Saccharomyces cerevisiae S288C: one gene and its partners. Changing the gene in region 2 together with the main gene of any one other region gives a genetic interaction. Each region holds a gene or a part of one and is shown on either strand. Other genes may lie near its edges. The genes, in order: PSK2, PEX12, NPR3 and PEX13.

Evidence for each region.
Region 1: mutations in PEX12 (region 2) and PSK2 together harm fitness more than expected from each alone (negative genetic interaction), as found in Saccharomyces cerevisiae (3 studies listed by BioGRID).
Region 3: mutations in PEX12 (region 2) and NPR3 together harm fitness more than expected from each alone (negative genetic interaction), as found in Saccharomyces cerevisiae (3 studies listed by BioGRID).
Region 4: mutations in PEX12 (region 2) and PEX13 together harm fitness less than expected from each alone (positive genetic interaction), as found in Saccharomyces cerevisiae (4 studies listed by BioGRID).

The regions. Positions count from the first base shown.
Region 1 is NC_001147.6:241,695-247,814, forward strand, and holds PSK2 (serine/threonine protein kinase PSK2), read left to right. Parts: upstream 1-1,802; coding exon 1,803-5,108; downstream 5,109-6,120. Other genes in the region: LDS2 (Lds2p), read right to left, coding at 1-747, 811-1,053; PEX15 (Pex15p), read left to right, coding at 5,456-6,120. UniProt on the Saccharomyces cerevisiae protein: Serine/threonine-protein kinase involved in the control of sugar metabolism and translation. Phosphorylates UGP1, which is required for normal glycogen and beta-(1,6)-glucan synthesis.
Region 2 is NC_001145.3:323,479-327,682, reverse strand, and holds PEX12 (ubiquitin-protein ligase peroxin 12), read left to right. Parts: upstream 1-2,247; coding exon 2,248-3,447; downstream 3,448-4,204. Other genes in the region: TAP42 (Tap42p), read right to left, coding at 1-201; YMR027W (putative methyltransferase), read right to left, coding at 394-1,806; CSI1 (Csi1p), read right to left, coding at 3,496-4,204. UniProt on the Saccharomyces cerevisiae protein: Component of a retrotranslocation channel required for peroxisome organization by mediating export of the PEX5 receptor from peroxisomes to the cytosol, thereby promoting PEX5 recycling.
Region 3 is NC_001140.6:57,998-64,480, forward strand, and holds NPR3 (Npr3p), read right to left. Parts: upstream 4,567-6,483; coding exon 1,126-4,566; downstream 1-1,125. Other genes in the region: RIM4 (Rim4p), read left to right, coding at 1-793; SPO11 (DNA topoisomerase (ATP-hydrolyzing)), read right to left, coding at 4,964-6,160; AIM17 (Aim17p), read right to left, coding at 6,465-6,483. UniProt on the Saccharomyces cerevisiae protein: Component of the SEA complex which coats the vacuolar membrane and is involved in intracellular trafficking, autophagy, response to nitrogen starvation, and amino acid biogenesis. Mediates inactivation of the TORC1 complex in response to amino acid starvation.
Region 4 is NC_001144.5:535,202-539,252, forward strand, and holds PEX13 (peroxin PEX13), read left to right. Parts: upstream 1-2,070; coding exon 2,071-3,231; downstream 3,232-4,051. Other genes in the region: MMR1 (Mmr1p), read left to right, coding at 13-1,488; HCR1 (translation initiation factor eIF3 core subunit j), read right to left, coding at 3,591-4,051. UniProt on the Saccharomyces cerevisiae protein: Component of the PEX13-PEX14 docking complex, a translocon channel that specifically mediates the import of peroxisomal cargo proteins bound to PEX5 or PEX21 receptors.

The DNA of each region.
Region 1 (6,120 bases), on a different chromosome or scaffold from region 2:
AGGGGAAGGAGGTACGGCTGGCTGGTCCCGGTCTTTTATCTCTTTAACTATCCAAAGCGAAGCACCTACTGCGTTTGTTCCAATGAACAACCCACCCAGAATGGGAATAGACTCTAATAAACCGCTGGATATCGAGTAAAGGAGCCACTTGGCAAAGCCCTTGTAGTAAACTTTGGAAAGTTTGCGCGAATCCAAATGTAGCACGTCAACAAAATAAGGCTCAAAATAGTAAAATCCCATTCCGGGGCTAAATGGTAGCATATTGATTGTAATTGGACCCACTATTGGAACGAGCAACAATAAAAGAAACATAAAGGCTATGAAGATGTACCAGAAGAAAAAAATGAAAAACTGCGGCAAAGAGACGAGGTAAAACCGTTTCGAAAAGAGGCCACCCAAACGATGTGACCTTCTGTAGACAAAGGGCGTGAAACTTATCGTTTCACAGGCTTCACTCAACTCTGTTAATCCCTTTCTTGCGAACGTCACTCCATAAATACGTGTGAAAAGAACGAAATCGGTACCCTTCACCATAGAATTACATAGCGTTGTGGAAATCAGAATAGTTTGCATATAAGCCAGAGGTAACGCAAAGAGTCCGAGAAAGGGCAAATAGATGCACACTAACAAGGACCACGCAAGGATTGACGTAAACGCAACAATAAGCAGGAGATTCAGCAGGTAGTATCCAAATATTAGGAAAAATAGATGCAAATAATCCGAGTTTCCCACGGATTCGCTAATTCCCTTCAAAGGCGGTTAGTATGACGGCTTAAAAAACATGATCTGCTTATTGGAACATCAACATACTTTATACGGATACCAGATGATCTGGTGCGACGACTCTAGGTCTTTCCAAAAATTGTCTTTAACAAGCATAGCATTCTTGTACCATCGAACTATCGGAGCCTTGTATGCCATCCAAATTTTTGATTTCTTATGGTTCCCTTGGTCTTGGATGGGGAGTAATTGTGGTTCCTCCCCTTCTGCCAGTGGCGTAGAGGCATATGGATGTCTATGGTAATACCAATCAGGTTGGGGTCTAGTCGACATGTTTGCTTGGTGTCTTAGCAGCTCTTATAGTTCTAATGCTATAACTAAGAAAGTAATAATAATAATAATAAAAAGCTTTATATAATGTTTTATTATGGAAGTTTCGTTTTTGTGGCGCGACGCGATCAGCCAAAATCAGCGGAAAAATTCGTCGGAACATTTTTTTCTTTTTTGGCCAAGCTATTGTTACAGGTGGGGCAGGGGCAAGAGACGATATGTCATCGCGAAGCTGTAAAGACACTTGTCGAAGTGATAAAGCGCAAGAGCTGTTTGTCTACGGAACCAGCAAGTACTATCTAATAGCGTGTTCCAGAGAATAACAGCATTTTTCAACTTCTTTCTCCTGGTGTGAGTAATCAGTACGTGAAAAGAGAACGAAGTTAAAAAAAAAAACAAGAAAAAGAAACAAGATCAAAAGAAACGATAAAGGCTGGCTTATAAAATAATAGCATCGCGAACGATCAATAAGGGGCCCTGTTTATTTTTAACAAAGTTTACATATTTCGTTTTCCTCTTTAAGCTGACATCACGTCTATACCCTGTTTTATTCCTTGTTAGAAACATAACGGAGCAGGTAGTAACAACAACAGTATAAACTATCATAAACTTTTTTCCTTCCTTATTGGTGACTTTTAACACTTAGAATTCTAAGTCTGGCAAGAACAGTAATCATACTTCTTTGCAGGGCGTTTTATTGTTACTCCTCTGCCCTGCTAGATTAAAGTAAAGAATCATAAACAAAGAACACAATGACATACCCGGTTAGTGCAGCCGCTCCTGCCGACATTTCATATTCTAAAAATACCCCGTTGGTAGGGCTCTCTAAACCTCCATGCTTGTACCAACACGCTTCCTCGTCCGTCGATTCGTTTTCGTCAACATTCAGTGATGATGATCGTTCGGACCTTGTTGCTGTACCTAATGAGTCGCCGCATGCATTTTCGTATAATCCCATATCACCAAACTCACTGGGAGTAAGGTTGACCATCTTAAGAAGGTCTTTGGAAATAATGGTAAACAGTCCTGACATCTTACATGAGTTGAAGAAAAAAGCACCCGTAATAGCATACCCCCCCTCACTTAGACACACAAGAAACTTAACAGAGACTGCCACGTTATCAGCATCGCGAGATCCGTTAAATGGGTCTCTAATTTCACCATTAGTATCCAATATGCCATCTCCTGCTAGTAGACCCGTGATACAGAGAGCAACGTCCTTAATGGTGTTGCCTGATAATGATACTGCCAGTAAACTGAATCCAGCCAAGTCCGAGTTAGAAAACTTGTTATTCTTGCTAAATTTAGCATTGGAAAACAATTCCTTCGAAAGAGCTTCCGATTTACACATGCTATCGTTATTGAATATCAAGAAAATAAACTTTGATTCAGACATTCAAAAATCAGAAACTTTGAAAAAGGTTTTATTAGATAGTTTAGCAGAACCATTTTTTGAAAACTACAAGAAGTTCCCTCACAAAGATTTAGGTTCGAAATCGCAATATAATGAATATGAGGAGAAACACGATGATATAGTCTCCTTAGCAGACATCAAACCACAACAGGACTATAGCCGAATTCTTCATCCTTTCACATCTGCAAAAAATTCTGGTCCAGAGGCCATTTTTACATGTTCTCAACAATACCCCTGGAACTTCAAAGCTGCCAATGATTTGGCGTGTCTAACGTTCGGTATATCAAAGAATGTTATCAAGGCACTTACTTTACTAGACCTTATTCATACGGATAGCAGAAATTTTGTTCTAGAGAAAATCATGAATGCAGAAGATGATAACCAAGAAATTGTGTTTACCGGAGAAACTATACCTATCGTCCAGCCAAATTCGACAAGCAATAATAATGTACCAAATCTGATTTGGGCTTCACTATGGGCCAAGCGGAAGAATGGCCTACTGGTCTGCGTATTTGAAAAAACGCCTTGCGATTACATTGACGTCATGTTAAACTTGAGAGATTTTTCAGTGGACAGCATTATTGATACAACACACTTTCTGGAAAACTTTGACAAGAAAAAGCAGCAAGAATCAACTTCGCCAATGACAGAAAAGAAAACGGTAAAATTTGCAAATGAAATTCACGATATTGGGTCAGTAAGTCACTCACTGAGTAAACTAATTGATGATGTACGTTTTGGAAAAGTGTTTTCTGCAGATGATGATTTATTACCCTTGTCTATCAGGGTGGCAAATCATGTCAACGAAGAGAGATATTTTACGTTGAATTGTCTATCTGAAAATATACCATGTGCTGTTACAACTTCCGTATTGGAAAACGAAATAAAATTAAAAATTCATAGTTTGCCCTATCAGGCTGGGCTATTTATTGTTGACAGTCACACTTTAAGTCTTTTAAGTTTCAACAAATCAGTCGCCAAAAACATGTTTGGCTTGCGACTTCACGAGTTGGCCGGTAGTTCGGTTACTAAGTTGGTTCCTTCTTTGGCGGACATGATATCTTATATCAATAAAACTTATCCTATGTTAAATATCACATTACCAGAAAATAAAGGATTGGTTTTAACAGAACATTTTTTCAGAAAAATTGAGGCTGAAATGCATCATGATAAGGACTCGTTTTACACTTCTATTGGTCTAGACGGCTGTCACAAAGATGGTAATTTGATAAAGGTGGATGTTCAATTACGGGTCTTGAATACGAATGCTGTATTATTATGGATTACACACTCAAGAGACGTGGTCATTGAAAATTATACCACCGTTCCTTCGCAGCTACCGATGTTAAAGGAGAACGAAATTGATGTCGTTGGCAGTAGAGGTAGTTCCAGTGCATCTTCCAAGAAATCTTCGGAAAAAATTCCTGTGAATACTTTGAAGGCAATGGCTGATCTGTCGATTAGCTCCGCTGAAACGATTTCTAATTCAGACGATGAAGTAGACTTAAATCAAGTGAATGAAAAACTACGAGAAACTTCTTGCGGTAAAGTGAGAGGTATCGAATCTAATGACAACAATAACTATGACGATGACATGACAATGGTTGATGATCCTGAGTTAAAACATAAAATTGAATTAACGAAAATGTACACGCAGGACAAATCAAAATTTGTAAAGGACGACAACTTTAAAGTGGATGAAAAATTTATAATGAGGATAATTGAACCGATAAACGGAGAAGAAATCAAAAAGGAAACAAATGAGCTAGACAAAAGAAATTCTACTTTAAAAGCTACGTACTTGACTACTCCAGAGGCTAATATAGGCTCACAAAAGCGCATAAAGAAATTTTCTGATTTTACTATTCTGCAAGTGATGGGTGAGGGTGCGTACGGTAAAGTCAATTTATGCATTCATAACAGAGAACACTATATCGTGGTCATCAAAATGATTTTCAAAGAGAGGATTTTAGTAGACACATGGGTGAGAGATAGAAAATTAGGTACTATACCTTCTGAGATCCAAATTATGGCGACCTTGAATAAAAATTCCCAAGAAAATATCTTGAAGTTATTAGATTTTTTTGAAGATGACGATTATTATTACATTGAAACACCGGTCCATGGAGAAACTGGTAGTATTGATCTATTTGATGTTATCGAATTCAAAAAAGATATGGTTGAACATGAAGCTAAACTGGTGTTTAAACAGGTAGTCGCTAGTATAAAGCATTTACATGACCAAGGAATTGTTCATAGAGACATAAAGGACGAAAATGTTATTGTTGATTCTCATGGCTTTGTAAAATTAATCGATTTCGGTTCGGCTGCCTATATCAAGAGTGGACCATTCGATGTTTTTGTGGGAACAATGGACTATGCTGCACCTGAAGTCCTTGGTGGTTCCTCTTACAAAGGTAAACCACAAGATATTTGGGCTCTTGGTGTGCTACTTTATACCATAATTTATAAAGAGAATCCTTATTACAACATTGATGAAATCTTGGAAGGTGAATTAAGGTTCGATAAATCGGAACATGTCAGTGAAGAATGCATCAGTTTGATAAAAAGAATTTTGACAAGAGAAGTTGATAAAAGACCTACTATTGATGAAATATATGAAGATAAATGGCTTAAAATCTAGTTTTCCGTACTCTCCAAGATAAAGGGAAAGAATAATTTAATCCATTTTCATAACCATTTACCTTCATAAATGTTCTATTCTTTTTTTGGCTATATATTAATTACATTTTTAATATCATATCATTGCTCTATATCCTTCTTGTCCAGCCTCTATGCAGTATTTTCTTTCATTCTATTTTGGGGCAAACTTCTGCGCTGAGCGGCTTATCGCCGTCGGAGTGACATCAAGTACCATAGAAAAGTCATCGTAGACTTACATATTTAGGCAAGAGAAATAGTTAGGTAAACAGAAAGAGGCACTAGCAGAACGTACTACGGTGTGGTTTATACAAGAGGGTTCTGTGAATAATGGCTGCAAGTGAGATAATGAACAATCTGCCTATGCATTCCCTCGATTCTTCTCTAAGGGATTTACTTAACGATGACTTATTCATTGAAAGTGATGAATCGACCAAGTCGGTAAATGATCAGAGGAGTGAAGTATTTCAAGAATGTGTGAACCTTTTCATAAAAAGAGATATCAAGGATTGCCTAGAAAAAATGTCTGAGGTTGGATTTATTGATATTACCGTTTTCAAGTCCAACCCTATGATATTAGATTTATTTGTCAGCGCCTGTGATATTATGCCCAGCTTTACCAAATTAGGTTTAACACTGCAGAGTGAGATTTTGAATATTTTCACGTTAGATACCCCTCAATGTATTGAGACAAGAAAAATTATTCTCGGTGACCTCAGTAAACTTTTGGTCATCAATAAATTCTTTCGATGCTGTATCAAGGTTATTCAGTTTAACTTAACTGATCACACCGAACAAGAAGAAAAAACTCTGGAGCTTGAATCCATAATGAGTGATTTCATTTTCGTATACATAACGAAAATGAGGACAACTATAGATGTAGTTGGCTTACAAGAATTAATCGAGATATTCATCTTTCAGGTGAAGGTAAAACTGCATCATAAAAAACCCTCACCGAATATGTATTGGGCGCTTTGCAAAACATTACCTAAGTT
Region 2 (4,204 bases):
AGTAGACACATCATCAATGGTCTCATTAGTACTGAACAATGCCAACCTGTCAAAAATTGCTGTTTTTAAGTTTAATAATTTCTTGATCGTGGAAAGTAATAATCCCTGGTACTCTGGTGAATCTTGCCTCAAAGATGTGTGTTCCAATTTTGTTGAGTATAAGCTAATAATATCGTTGAATTGTTCTGTTACTGACGCCATGTTTATGATCTCTCCTCGTTATTACTTTCTTCCTCTTCTTTCGCCATTGATTGTAATTTGTCCTTAGGAGCTTTCTTTTTTTTATCAGAAGTACATAAAATAAAAGGCACGTACTAAAAATCTATGTGCTTTTTTGGAACATTTCATAGGGAAAGTCATAAAGTAAAGTTATATAGAGAACTTATCATATTCTTATTTATGTATACCAGAGCAGAAACAAATGACTGCCCATTTACCGCTACAACACCACCAAGAACCACGGCCAGGATTTTCCTTTTCCCATTCTTGACTTAATTTCGCGTCTAGACCTTCAGGTAAAGCAACTTGTACATCGGCTTTACAGGTTCTCAAGCTCAATGATGTAATACCATTCGTAGCAAGAGGTCCGATAGCCGTTTCCCATTTAGTGGTGCGGGGCCATTTTCTGTCGCCAGTTAATTTTCTATAGTTTAGATCACCCTTAAAAATAACCAAATTGGATTTTTGCAAATCTTTGTGCAAAATGGATCCATGGTATTTGGTTTCGTTTGCGTCCAAATTCCAATAATCTAATTCCGTGGTCCAGAAAGAATCTTCGCGGAATTCTATCTTACCGCTAGAGACGAACTTTTCCATTTCACCAGCAAATAAATCAAGAGCTCTGGATTCCTTTGTCGAGGGTTCACCACTTGGGAAGAACTCACGATCTCTCAGGTCATGAACTAATATATCAAAATCTTTTAACATAACATCGCTAACCATGTATGGAATGTCTTTAGCGTGGAAAATACATTTGGTAGCCAAACCACTTTGTAACAGAAAAGCTGCCAACATCAAGTCAGCATACAATTCAAAGCCAGAATTGTCTAATACAAAATCAACACGAATTTCTCTGCTATTGGCATCGGCCCTGGCTTTGGTTAATACCTCCCATGCTTTCTCCGTGTCATTAACAACAATCTTGGACTCGGATGCAGCTCTTGCTTTCGCCCCTTGGATTGATTTAATGTCTTCTAACGTAGCGTTGGTCAATAAAGATAAATCAGTGGCATTGCCCCACAAAGAAATCTCAATAAACTCTTTAAAAAGAACTTTCAATATATCGTCAATCTCATTTCCTGGATTTTGCTTCATTTCTCTCAGCTGTGGTAACAGATTTTCATACCTTAACGCCAATTCCACGACACCATAAAACGAGGACTCAAAAGTTGACTGTTTAAGTCTGTTGAATATGTCAAATTTAGCCCATTCGCATTGGCGTTGGAAAAGAACATTTACTCTTCTATACAAGTAAACCTCCGAGAACAGCCACTCTACAGCCCCCCAATTGACTTCAGGGTGTTTCTTTAGATATTCATTGAACGAAAGCGGGACGTTGGCAATTTTGATCTCTTCTTCAGTAAAGGGTCTCAAAGGTACACGATCAATTATCTCCTGACGGAATTCCTTGAGCTCCTTTTTGATAACTTCACCTTGTTCGAACTTAGTGCCGTTACTCTTCTCCGTTTCTTGATGCTTACTTAAATCGTCTATAGCATTCTGAATGATAATGGGCCAACGGGTGCTAGCAGTGTATTCACCAAAAGTGCCCTTATCAATTGTCATAAATCTTCCAGGGATAGTCATCTCTTGTTATGTACTACCCACTACCGTAATATCCTTTTTTTCCGTTTACACAAGGACCACAATGAACCACTAAATTTTAAAGAGTTCAAATGAAGTTTTATTCTTTTAATATGAAGGGAATAGTTGTATTTCTACTTCCGGGCAGTTATACTATCACGTTGCACCTGGGGCCTCTATGTCTGAGAGGTGTGTGGGTTATACTAAGAAATCATCGATGTGGACGATTACCGTCACTGGCAATGGTAACCTCCAATTCAGTCACTGGAGAAGAGAGGTACAATTTAGTGTGGAGTCATCCTTTCGTCTCATTCAGATGCTTAAGAGCAATGCTTACCGCAGAATCACATTAGGTAGAGAAACGGTTTTGCATGAAGGCTCCAGAAGAAGCAAGGGAATAAGCAGGGAAAATAAAGCAAAGGAAAGGAAGGTAGTCGTCAAGTGATGAGCTTTTATTCAAACCTACCGTCTGCAGGACAATCTAGTCGAGGGTCTTCAACAAGCGGTCGAAATGGGGTGGGATTAGAACCATTGTATCCGACTATCTTTGAGATAATGTCATCACAAGAAATCGATTCGTTACTGCCCGCATCCATCCGTTATCTACTGGCAAATCATTTAGTGGCGAACTTCCCTAACAGGTATACTTTGCGGCTGAACAAGTACTTTTTTGAGTGGTTTCAAGCGATAAAAGGGTTTGTTGAATGGTATCATCTAAAGACATACAATTCTACGTTTATTGATCGGTTTTATGGATTGCAACTATTTAGTTCGAGGGACAGAAATCTTGCCTTAACACAATGTTTAAATCCAAAGGGCCAGAGTGAATGGCCCCAAGGTTTGCAGCTGAATCAACAGCAAAAGAGTGTTATTTTTTTGGAAAAAATTATTCTCCCCTATATCACAGCGAAGTTGGATGAAATATTAGAGAAAATATCAATGAATAATATATTCAGCAGCGATGAAACTGAAAATAAATGGCCCAAGAGAGCGTTTCTAAGAATTTATCCATTTATTAAGAAATTATTAGCGTTATCCAATTTACTCGTTAAATTATTATTTTTAACTAAAAGAACAGGGTCGGTTTCCTTGTTGCAATACTTATTCAAGATAGAGTACACAACGGTAAGACCACTATCGTCAGAACTCTCTGGTCTCAAAGAGACGAAAGGGATGGATAATAGGCTAAGGAAAACAAATATATCGTCAATTTTCGCGCTAATGCAAGGACAATTATCGATTATACCCAGATTTTTAACATTTATGGGTTCGCAATTCTTCCCCACTTTTATATTTGTCCTAAGAGTGTACCAATGGTGGACCACACAAGACATGACTACTAAATTGCAGAAAAGGGTCAATGACTTGGATGAAGATATTCCAAGGCCGCCTTTCTCCTCACATAGTGACAAAACGGAAGATAAAGAGGGAGTTTCTGAGGCCTGTCCCGTTTGCGAAAAAACTGTACAAAACCCCTGTGTATTGGAAACAGGATACGTGGCATGCTACCCGTGTGCCATAAGCTATTTGGTTAATAATGAAGGCCATTGTCCCGTTACCAATAAAAAGCTGCTGGGTTGTACATACAACAAACACACGAATAAATGGGAAGTTGTGACAGGTATTAGGAAGCTACTAATCTGATGACGGAGGAAGTGAAGAAAATAATTCTGTGTAATATATATATTCTAGTTATTTTTTTAACATATTTGAAATTTCCCATTGTTTACACGAAATTTCTAATAATTTTATTTCATTAATTTTGTTATCCAGCAGGTAATTCATGTCACTTGTTCCACCTCTTTGCAGTTGTGTTACAAGCATTGATATTTTTCGAAGTATTACATCTTGCGTGGAAGAGAAAGGCTTGTCAGTGGCATCATAATTTTTCAAGAATATTATCATTCGATTAATCTTCTCGAGTAATTTTCTTATGGTATTATTATTATATTTTTGAATATTGATTTCTTTATCCTTCATGTCAATTAATTGAAACTCATCAAAACCTGGGTCTACGGTATTATTAGGTGTGGGAATTTGGTATCTGTCATTTACATCCTTAATTTGCACTTTATCTTGTAGAAAATCAAGGATAATTTCCGCGCCTATCTGTACACTATTTTCAATTTTATAACCCTTTAAACTATTGACAGCTTCTTGGAAGGAGGTATGTTGGCGAAACACGTTATATTTTATCAGATATTTCAATGCCAAGGCGGTCAATTGGGTGAGCACTTTCTCCGTCACTTTATTAGTGATATTTTCGTCCTCTTCTAACTGACATAAATCAAGAATACCCAGTATACAAATGTCCTTTTGAGTCACTTTTGTTAGGTTAATTCTCCTTTCTAGGCGTTCTTGATTTATTTTATCATTTTCCTGCATCGGGATTCGTATAACT
Region 3 (6,483 bases), on a different chromosome or scaffold from region 2:
ATTTACAGGGCCAGAACTGAACTTAGCACCACCACCAATCAACATGTACAGGAAAATGAGCGGCGGATCCCAGCAGGAAAGCGAAACTATGATGCCATACATGCCCATGGGGCCCATGCCCATGGGGCCTCCACCACCAAATGCAGCAAGTCTCAGTGATTTTGATATGTTCCCCCCAAGTTACTCCACGTTTATGAAGGGAATGATGCCATTGAGGCGTAAATCTATGCCCAATTCTTGGTCATCCCCTTCTTCAAAGAGTGTGAACTCTGAAAATGAAAGTGTTAATGGTGGTGATGAGAATTCCGAATTGCCTTCCGAAATTCCTGAATCATCTGGTAGATATAATGCTGCTAATTCCTTTACCACATATAATAATTCCTCAGCAGGAAACTCTAACAACAACAACAACAACAACAACAGTAACAGTAATAAGTCTCAATATAAAAAGCGCTATGCAAGGAGGTCAAGCTACGGATACAATGAAGTACCTCCAAAACCATACTATTTCCAGCCTTATTACTATCACCCCATGCAATACCATATGGGCCCAATGGGCCCATTGCATCCTTCTCAAGGTTCTGCTGGAAATCACCATCCATATATGATGGTTTATCCCATGTCACCACCTCCGCCTTCTGGGTTAGATGGAAGCATGATCCCTCCTCCAATAAATGTAAGCCAATCACATGCTGCTAATCATGGCAGTACCCATGTTCATGCGAACGAATTCATATCAAACGATACTGGTGACATAAATGAAGATAACAAAGCTTATAGTTTAGATTACTAAAAATGATTGGTCGTAAAAGCTGCAAAAGATGTATGTAATTCAGCGGTGATGTTAACTTTAAAAGTGCAGTTTCGTTTTCTTTTTCGTCTCCCTATTTTTTTCTCTGGATCTTTTTTTTTTTTTTCACTTGGTATTGTTTTCATCCTTCTTTCCTTCTTTTACCTTCTTTGTCTCCTAATATAACAATACATACTTTCGAGTTTTGATTACAAGTCACTCGAAATGTTTTTTTCCTTTTATATATTCTTCCTTTTGTCTATTCTTATATACACATATTTTAATTTTTGGTAGATTTTTTTTTTTTTACTTACATTTTGTTACAATAGAGAGATTTACCAATGGTGTATCTCGATTAAATACTTATCTAGAGCATTGAGCAATTTCTTTAGGTCATGTCTGCTAATTTCCTCTTTGATGATAACCAATTCCATGGGGACCTTTCCATTGAAGTACTTGAGCAACTTGTTAAAAAGAATCTGGATATCTGAAGGCTGACCATAAATACATCTATAAAGCCATCTTTTTTCAATCGCAGTGGCTCTTTCAGGTTCCAAAATTATAGTATAGTCATGTTGCATTTCTGGATCATCGTATTCGAAGTGTAGTATTTCTTCTTCATCCGCAATAGCTATTTCATTGTCATCACGATCATCAACACGACTATCATTTTCGTTATCTTTTTCGTCCACATCTTTGTTGTTGTCGTTGGACTGCATGCCTTCATTCTTTCCTGAACACGCTTCGCTGGCGTTTGCATCTCTACTTTGCCCATCTTCATCATCCAGCTTTTTATCAGTTTTTTTGTAGTCCATGCTGGGCCTTCTAGCAGTATTAGTCTTACGGAAGCCTTCCTTTTCTAGATCCTCATCTACTGCCATTTTTATGTGTTTGTCCACTCGGATATTTATGAAAGTCAATAATTGGGTTACATACCCGTACTGTATTAACCACGCTAACGCGTTCAGGTAAACTGGCTTATGTTCCCTTGATGGGATTATGTTACTGTACGCTTGAGGTTTGTCCGTGGACAACAAACTTAAAAAAATGGGTAAACTGGGCAATGATGGGAATTTGGATCTGAACAACATCGAATTTTGATAAATTAGTGGTACTCTGTCGCTTCCACTCTTATTATTTTCGCGATCGTCCATTTTTTTCACGTTCCCATCATTTTGTGAAGTACTTTTATAATCATCTATTGTATAACCTTGAATAGGAGCCAAGGGTGAAACAATATACGTGTATTTGGAGCTTAGTGGGATCACTATTCTTGCATGTCTCCAATACATTAAATGCAATGCGCAAGAGCGCAGTATGCTTGATTCCAATGAGTTTGTTTCTGTAGTAAGGTCGTCCAGTGAAGAAGGGTTATCTAATAAATCAGTTATCAGATAGCGATACGACCTTAGAGGGATATTTGGCTGGATATTTCTGACTAAATGTTTCAATATGATAGTGCCAATATCGTCCTGGTATGAAAAAGTTTCGAGGGAGCTAATAATATTATTTGGCTCGTCCAATAATAATAGCGCATAGTTTAAAAGGTCATCATTGTCGTCGCAGTAGTAATTGCTTTCATTGTCGTCCCCGTCATCCACATTTGCTGCTCCACAGTGGCCGGTACTATTAATATTATTGCCAAACCTGTATATGTTATTATTGGTATCACTGAATTGAGCCTGATCGTTTTGACGATTTTGACTTTCAATTCTCAATGATGATTTTTCTAAAAATTTCATGTTCAAAATGGACGTCAAATATGAGCCTCTTAGCACGGGTTGCAGTTTGAAGTTTGGCATTTTTTCAAACTCGTTTTGAATCGGGATTTGCAAGGAAATTACTTTATCGTCATTGATCTCAAGACATGCGATTTCATTTCGTTGGATTTTATCAACACATTCCGTTAGCGCCCTAGCCAACGAAGATTTGGCTAAAATTCTTTGGTACAGATACTTCCCCTTGTTTCCTGCGCCTCTTATAGATTGGTATGTTTTCGAATGTTTCAGTACCCGTTCTTTTTCCTTTAAAATTATATGGCATTCGCTAGAAATGTACGAGGTTTTTGATTGCACATATCTTAACAATAATGATAACCTTGTAACAACAAACTGATACATGTCATCAATCCTTTTATTATATTCGATTAAATGCGGATTCATAACAAAGCATACATGAAACATGTTCATATTTTTGCCCAAGTCTTCCTTTTCTCTCTCAAATTCGTTTCCACTGACATCAGTATTTATCCTCAAATTCGGCGTATCAGTAGAAGCCTCATGACCAATATTACTGTCATAAACAGTGTCAGCTTCACCACTATTAACTTTCTTCAAAGTATTCTCACTCAGTGATGAAATTTTGGAAGCGATAGATTTCTTTCTACTGATGTTTGTTGTAGTACTCGAAGATCTTTTAGAGCGGGTTTTATTTTTGTGCTTGGATTTTCTCCATCTGCCTTGAGAATCTACATGAATAGGTAAGCCTAAGAAGCAGAAATTATCCACCGTGAATTCGAATCTGGTATTGCACATTTCCCTCTCAGGGCTACAAAATTCTGCAACAAAATCATTATCAAATTCTAGAATTTTATTTATATCCTGGAAGTTTTCCTCTTCAAAAAAAATTTCATTCATAGAGATTTTACCATCCTGCAACATTGCCGAAACTTCCATGTCTTCTTCTTCAACATCGTACTGGGTATGGGAATTTCGTTGGCTCGTCGCGGCATTTTTATGATAATGGTGGTAACGATGGTGGTAATGATGAGGTGATTGGCCAGGAGTGTCGTTCAGGCTACTATTACGAAGTTCTTGGTTATGCTCTCCTGTACTCGATAAAGATTTTTTAGAAGAAATTGAACAACTTCCTGTAAAAGCATTTCCATCAGTCTCATTGGACGTATTTTTTAACAGTTTGTTGCCTTTTTTAGTGCTTTGTGATGGCTTAGATTTAAGCTTTCTTACTGGAGAATGTGTTTTTGAATCAGTACTCTTCTTGGTACTCAATTTATGGAAGAAATTCTGGGATCTCTTGGAAGCGGCCCTTGATTTGTTATTAGTCCCAGAATCTAGATATGATTCCGCTACTGAAATACTATCGTTTTCCATTATCATTTGTGGTGAAGTTGGAGACATTGAATCCGTAGATTGGAAACTCGAATTAGTTCTTGATAAGCCATCTTGCGGAGGGGAAGATGAGGATGAACTTGAGGGAGAAGAAGATAAAGAAGATGACGATAAGGAAGAAGATATAGAAAACGAATCGCTAGAAATGTCTAAGTAGTCTGTGGACAATTCGCTGTCACTTAATCCCGATGATGACGTTTCAGATTCAGTTTCTTGGTATTGAAAAGTCCGAGAAGTATCTTCGATATCGGTTTTTCTATAACCTACACCATTAGTAGCCGCAGGAATTGAACTTTGTGATCCTACAGTATTAGCATGCGATCTAGTTGGAGGTAATGTCACATTATTAGTATTAGTATTTGTCATTGATGGCGTAATAGCGGTATTGTAACTTTTCGCTGACTCGTTTAGAGCAATTTGAGAAGCTGTTTTCGTAGAGCCAGAATTAAAGAGTTTTTCTTCTTTATTTGTACTTGTGTTTTTATTTAGATTTGCATGGTTTCCATAGAGGTGCTGATGCTTCGTTGGATTATTTGTTAGAAATGCTGTATTGGAGGGTGGGTAGTGATAAACTATTTGTGGCCCCGAATGCGTTGAAATGACGAGGTGAACACCTAGTAGACATGAATTGGGTAAACATTCATCCATTGAAGCTTAGTTTCTACCCAAAAGATGACTCTGTTCCCTTTTTTTTTTGAATTTTCTTCACATTTCAATAGCTTATCTATGTTTAATGGTATTTCAAGATATCACAAGCGAAAAAGTTACTTAAGAAAAAAGACTAGTGATCCTTACATGGCTTATAACTCATTCACCATCGAATCATTGTAAAATCATATGCCATCTTAGTATAGTGGTTAGTACACATCGTTGTGGCCGATGAAACCCTGGTTCGATTCTAGGAGATGGCATTTATTTTTTTGAAATTGTATTTTTTTTTGGACTAGTATTCATTATCAAAGATTTCAATTTATATAATATTTAAATGTAACCGTTTTCAATTCTTGAAAAACATTTTTTATAAAGCAACAGCTCCCATTCTTATTCATTTGTATTCAAAAATTCTGGCATCAATCTCGTTCATTTCAGCTTTCTTTTGGAAAAAAATTTCCCGCTGACATTCTATGATGACGTTCTTTAATGGTGAAGTTGCAATATCCCAGCTGTTGGCAGTCAGAGATGCTATCAAATTCTTGGCTAAGGAGTAGTCGCGCTGATTCAAACTCAATAATTGAATGGATTTGTTATGCACTTCATTATTTTGTGCCAAAACTTGCGTAATACGAATTCCTTTATAGTTTGCCATCGTGCAAATATAAGCGTTGCGTTCATTCGAGTGAGTATAATTTAGGGCTATGCTAATCCCATAGGGGTCCGCATCGGTAAATATAGAACAGTCCGATATCAATTTGGAGCAATATTGTTCTAGTTTTTTTAGGAATAACCTTGTCAAGAAATCTGGAAATCCCTTACCTGTAATGAGCATGGTATTTGTACTCAACTTGTGATAATTATTTACTAATTTGGTGAAGACAGCTTCTTTTTCCACTATTACAATATTACACATACTTGTTGTCCCTAACTTGATGACCGCATCATCTTGGAAAAATGGAATTAGACAGGGCTTACCAGGGAAAATTGTTTGCTTTTGCATCTTTGGTTCATTTTCACATGTCAGAATATTGTCATAAATATCAATGGGGAAAGGCGAATAAACTAAACCCTTTTGAGCTGGTATAATGTTTAAGGATTTTCTTGGAGAGAGCTTGAAATTAAAGCGTATAACGTCCAGCCACTGGACTACGTTTGCTTGTCTTTGAAACAATTCCACGTTGGAGTAGAAGATATCTCTCACTGTAGTGTTTTTACCTAGCGGTAATTTTTCCATAACGACTTTCAATAAGTTTAAAAGGATTGCGCATCTTTTCAACTTGAACTGATGAGTGCATAGATGCGGGCCATTCAAAGGGAAGTCCAATGTTGTGTGAATGTCAGGACTGCTTGTATCGCCTTTTTTTTTTTTGTTTTGAAAGACGATTGAAATAGGCTGTTGATGTTGCTCTAATGAATTAGCCGCCAATGACAGGAAATGCTTAATATGAGCCAAAACATCTGCGTTTGAACAGGGAGTTCCGTTGGAGTGACCATTGGAGTTCAAGTGAATGGACCGTCTTTTAGGAGTGAGTGCTTTGACCAATTCCTGCCTTGTTTTATATTTTTTCCGCAATCCCTCCAAAGCCATGAGAAGGTGAACTTAGTAAATCGTAAAATCTTAAGGGTGAAGACAAATATGTGAGGTTATTTGAATGATATTTAGTTGGATATAATCACTAAATAAAGTAGATTTTCCTTGGGTAGTAGACTTTCTTTTACGTTATTCCTTTTATAATTTTAATTTTAGTTATTGATTTCAATGAAACAAAAGGAAACTGACGGCTTCTTAAAATAAATATATTTAACATGAAACATTAAAAAAAAAATTGTCACTACACAGAGAGAAAATAAATAAATATAAAGAATCACATAACTATGCTGAAAAAATGAAGTTATTTGTCATGAGGAAAC
Region 4 (4,051 bases), on a different chromosome or scaffold from region 2:
ACAACTAAAAAAATGAATTCTCCAACAATGAAATCGGAACAACTTACTCCAAAACTCTCACCAATGTCCTTTTGTTTGGATGACCAAAGAAATGCAGGCTCTTTTCAAAATCTATTGAACTCACCTACGAAGCTAAAATTAGACACTGGCCCGATTGGTAATTCCTTGTTATATCCAACATCACTCTCTAAATTGAGCGAGTTATCAAGAGGTGGACGTTCTAAACAAAGAAGGGGCTCTGACACTATGAGGTCTGTATCGCCTATTAGGTTTCAGTTTTTGAACAACACTCCAAAGATGTTAAAACCCGAGTACCTATCTCAAACAACCAGTAATCTGCCATTGCTATCTGCCCTATTGAAGAATAGCAAGAAAACTACTAGTGAAGGCCAGAATTCAAACCCTGATCCATTGAACATAGAGAAAAACATCATTAAACAAAGCATCAAGGACAAACTAGAGCAGCTGCGCAGTTCAGAATCCGTTGCGCAAGTACAAAAGAAAGAACGCAATCCCCCTTCATTTGAGGCCAAAGTCTGTGCGGAAGAACCGATATTACGGAAAAACGCCGAAGGGTTGCTCCCCTCATACGTTCCTGTTCCTGCTACTCCTTTGGAAGATCCAGAAAATCATGGGGTGCGAAAGGTCGAGGACAAAGGACTTAGAGTCGTCTCCGGCGGCTCCACTCAGTGTCTAAGCACCGAAGTGAACGAATTGCCTAAGGATCTGAATCTAGACAATTTACCTACGGATAATAACGGGTTCGTTCAATATGGTCTCAAAGGCAATAACAACAACAACAGATATAGCTTTATCTCGTCTACGTCGACGGACTATGAGCCCGAATGGTGTGACGGACAACAACATATTTCAATGCAAATGGCCTCTATGGCCAATGCAGAGGAGGCAAATAGTCGTGAAAAATCGAATTTAGACATAAAGATCAAGCAGCTAGAACTTGAAATTACAGAATTAAAGTTGCAGAATGAAAAATTAGTGCATTCCATGACGACGAACAGATACATTGAAGAAAGATTTATGCTTGAGGTTATGAAGGATCCTAGTATACAGGCTCAAAGATCCCAAAGAGATATTGAGAGAAAAGTCAAGCAACTGGAGAAAAAATTCTTCAATTGTAAAAAAGTTCTTAAGAAATTGACTGAATCCTCCGCAGTAGTGGCCACCTCCACTTCAAAAACTGAAGGAAATTCAGCAAGAATCCCATGCCCTAAGACTAGACTGGCACGCGTTTCTGTTTTAGACCTAAAGAAAATTGAAGAACAGCCAGATTCTTCTTCGGGAACTTCGTCCGAGGAAGATCATCTAACAAACGATGATACGGATGCTAATACTAGCGAAGATTTAAATGTTGCTTTTGAAGAGGAGCCAACTTCTGCTATTTCCACAACAGCATCTGTGCAGAGTGGGGAAAGTAAAAGAGGTTTCCAACTTAACCTTCCTGTCCAAGTGGAGAAGAAGGAAAAATGAAGCGTCAACTTCAAATTAAATTAACTTATTTTACACAAACATTCACAATACATCAATGCTGATAGGCGCTTTGTATTGTAGGCTATCGAGTTACGCATCTGCAATGTGCGTGATTTCTCCGTTATCCATCCTTCTCATTGGACAATTTTTATTTGAATATTACTGAACTTCAAAGGGCTTGTCGTGTGATTTAATCTTTTTTCTTACAACGTCGAATGCTGCAGCTATTTATTCATAGTGTCGTCTAAGCAAATACCCCGCTTTTAAAAGCTGAATAGAAAATCCAATCACGGTGTGACTGGTATCACAAACACATAATTTATATATTGCATTCAAGTTTATTCAACCTATACTTAAATACATTAATTACCAAAAAAAATGATATAATAAAGTCTTCTTTTATCTGATTAATGACACCTTTTTCAGCGGGCCAAATTTTTTTTATTTCCGAAGCCCGCCGGACTAATATTAATTATATCAGATAGTTGGTGAGCAAACGCATGTGGAAATGAACAACAATTTCGAAAGTGCATATACTATCTATAAATATCAAGGGGATTCTATACTATAACAATACCTGCGATGTCATCCACAGCAGTACCACGACCTAAACCTTGGGAGACCAGTGCTTCGTTAGAGGAGCCACAGCGTAATGCTCAGTCTTTAAGTGCGATGATGACCTCGAATCAGCAGGATTCCAGGCCAACTGAAGAAAGCAATAACAGTAATAGTGCAAGTGAGTCTGCTCCCGAAGTTTTGCCGCGGCCTGCGGCACTTAACTCCTCTGGTACCTACGGCGAATCGAATACAATACCGGGAATATACGGTAATAGCAATTATGGGATACCCTATGATAATAATCCGTATAGTATGAACTCTATATACGGAAACAGCATAGGGAGGTATGGCTATGGAGGATCGTACTATGGCAACAATTATGGATCGTTTTATGGAGGAGGGTACGGTGCAGGAGCGGGATATGGAATGAATAATGGAAGTGGACTAGGTGAGTCGACGAAGGCCACCTTTCAGTTAATAGAAAGTTTGATAGGCGCTGTTACTGGATTTGCACAAATGCTGGAATCTACTTATATGGCCACACACAACTCGTTTTTCACCATGATATCCGTCGCAGAACAGTTTGGTAATTTGAAGGAAATGCTAGGTTCATTTTTTGGTATCTTTGCTATAATGAAGTTTCTTAAAAAAATACTCTATCGTGCTACTAAGGGGAGACTAGGAATACCACCAAAGAATTTCGCAGAATCTGAAGGAAGCAAAAATAAACTAATTGAAGATTTTCAAAAGTTTAATGATAGTGGTACCATAAATTCTAATGAGAAAGCCACAAGAAGGAAAATTTCATGGAAACCGCTACTATTTTTTTTGATGGCAGTATTTGGTTTTCCATATCTACTAAACAAATTTATTACTAAACTACAGACCTCTGGAACCATACGAGCATCGCAAGGAAATGGTAGCGAGCCTATTGATCCTTCGAAGTTAGAATTTGCAAGAGCGTTATATGATTTTGTTCCAGAAAACCCAGAGATGGAAGTTGCTTTAAAAAAGGGCGACTTGATGGCAATTTTGAGTAAGAAAGACCCTCTTGGGAGGGATTCTGACTGGTGGAAAGTGAGGACAAAGAACGGCAATATTGGCTACATTCCGTATAACTATATTGAGATCATAAAAAGACGGAAGAAAATTGAGCATGTTGATGATGAAACGCGTACACACTAGTGCATCAATATTTGCACACATATATTCGCATATATATATAGTAAAATCTAAAGTAATGTAAATATTCCAGGGAGAATCAGCAGAAACGAGACGAAGTACTTCTTAACAAAAAGCCAGATAACGGTGCAAAAACACATTATATTCTCCATCTTGAAAACACAATCTCCTACGTACACATATGCGTATTTATTTTTATATGAATGAAACGCCTATGGATATATATATGGGAATATAGACATTCACAATTTCAGGACAATTGTGATATGGCAATATCCAAGGCCTGCGGTGCTGGGCTTCGCTTTTTTTCACCAACAAAATGAGATGGACAAGTTTATCATAGCAAAGAAACAATAAGCAGATTACATAAAGTCGTCATCACCGAATTCAAAATCGTCGGGGCCATCTAGGTCGAAATCTTGATCTTTCTTAAATGCGCCACCCAAATTGGTCTTACCTTTGACTTTCTTCTTACCAGCACCCCCAGTAGCAGTACCACCTCTAACACGGGCCAGACGAGCTTGCCTCTCCTCTCTTTCCTTATCTTTGATCAAAACGTTCAAAGTAGCAACTGTTTGTCTTATAGATTCGATGGACATTGGTTTTGCTACATCTCTAATCAAATCAATCGCTAACGATGAGGAGTAGTTCAGCGGAGATTTTTTGTTCATTGGTGTAATAGCAGCAGTAAGAGCCTTTCTTAAATCCTGGTACTCTCTCTTTGTTTCGGCGTTAAACAAAGGATGTGTTTCGATAGGTGTGTCCTTGGTAAAGGCGGGTCTTTTTAGAGCTTGTTCCTCTTGTTCCTTTTGTAAAGCACGAG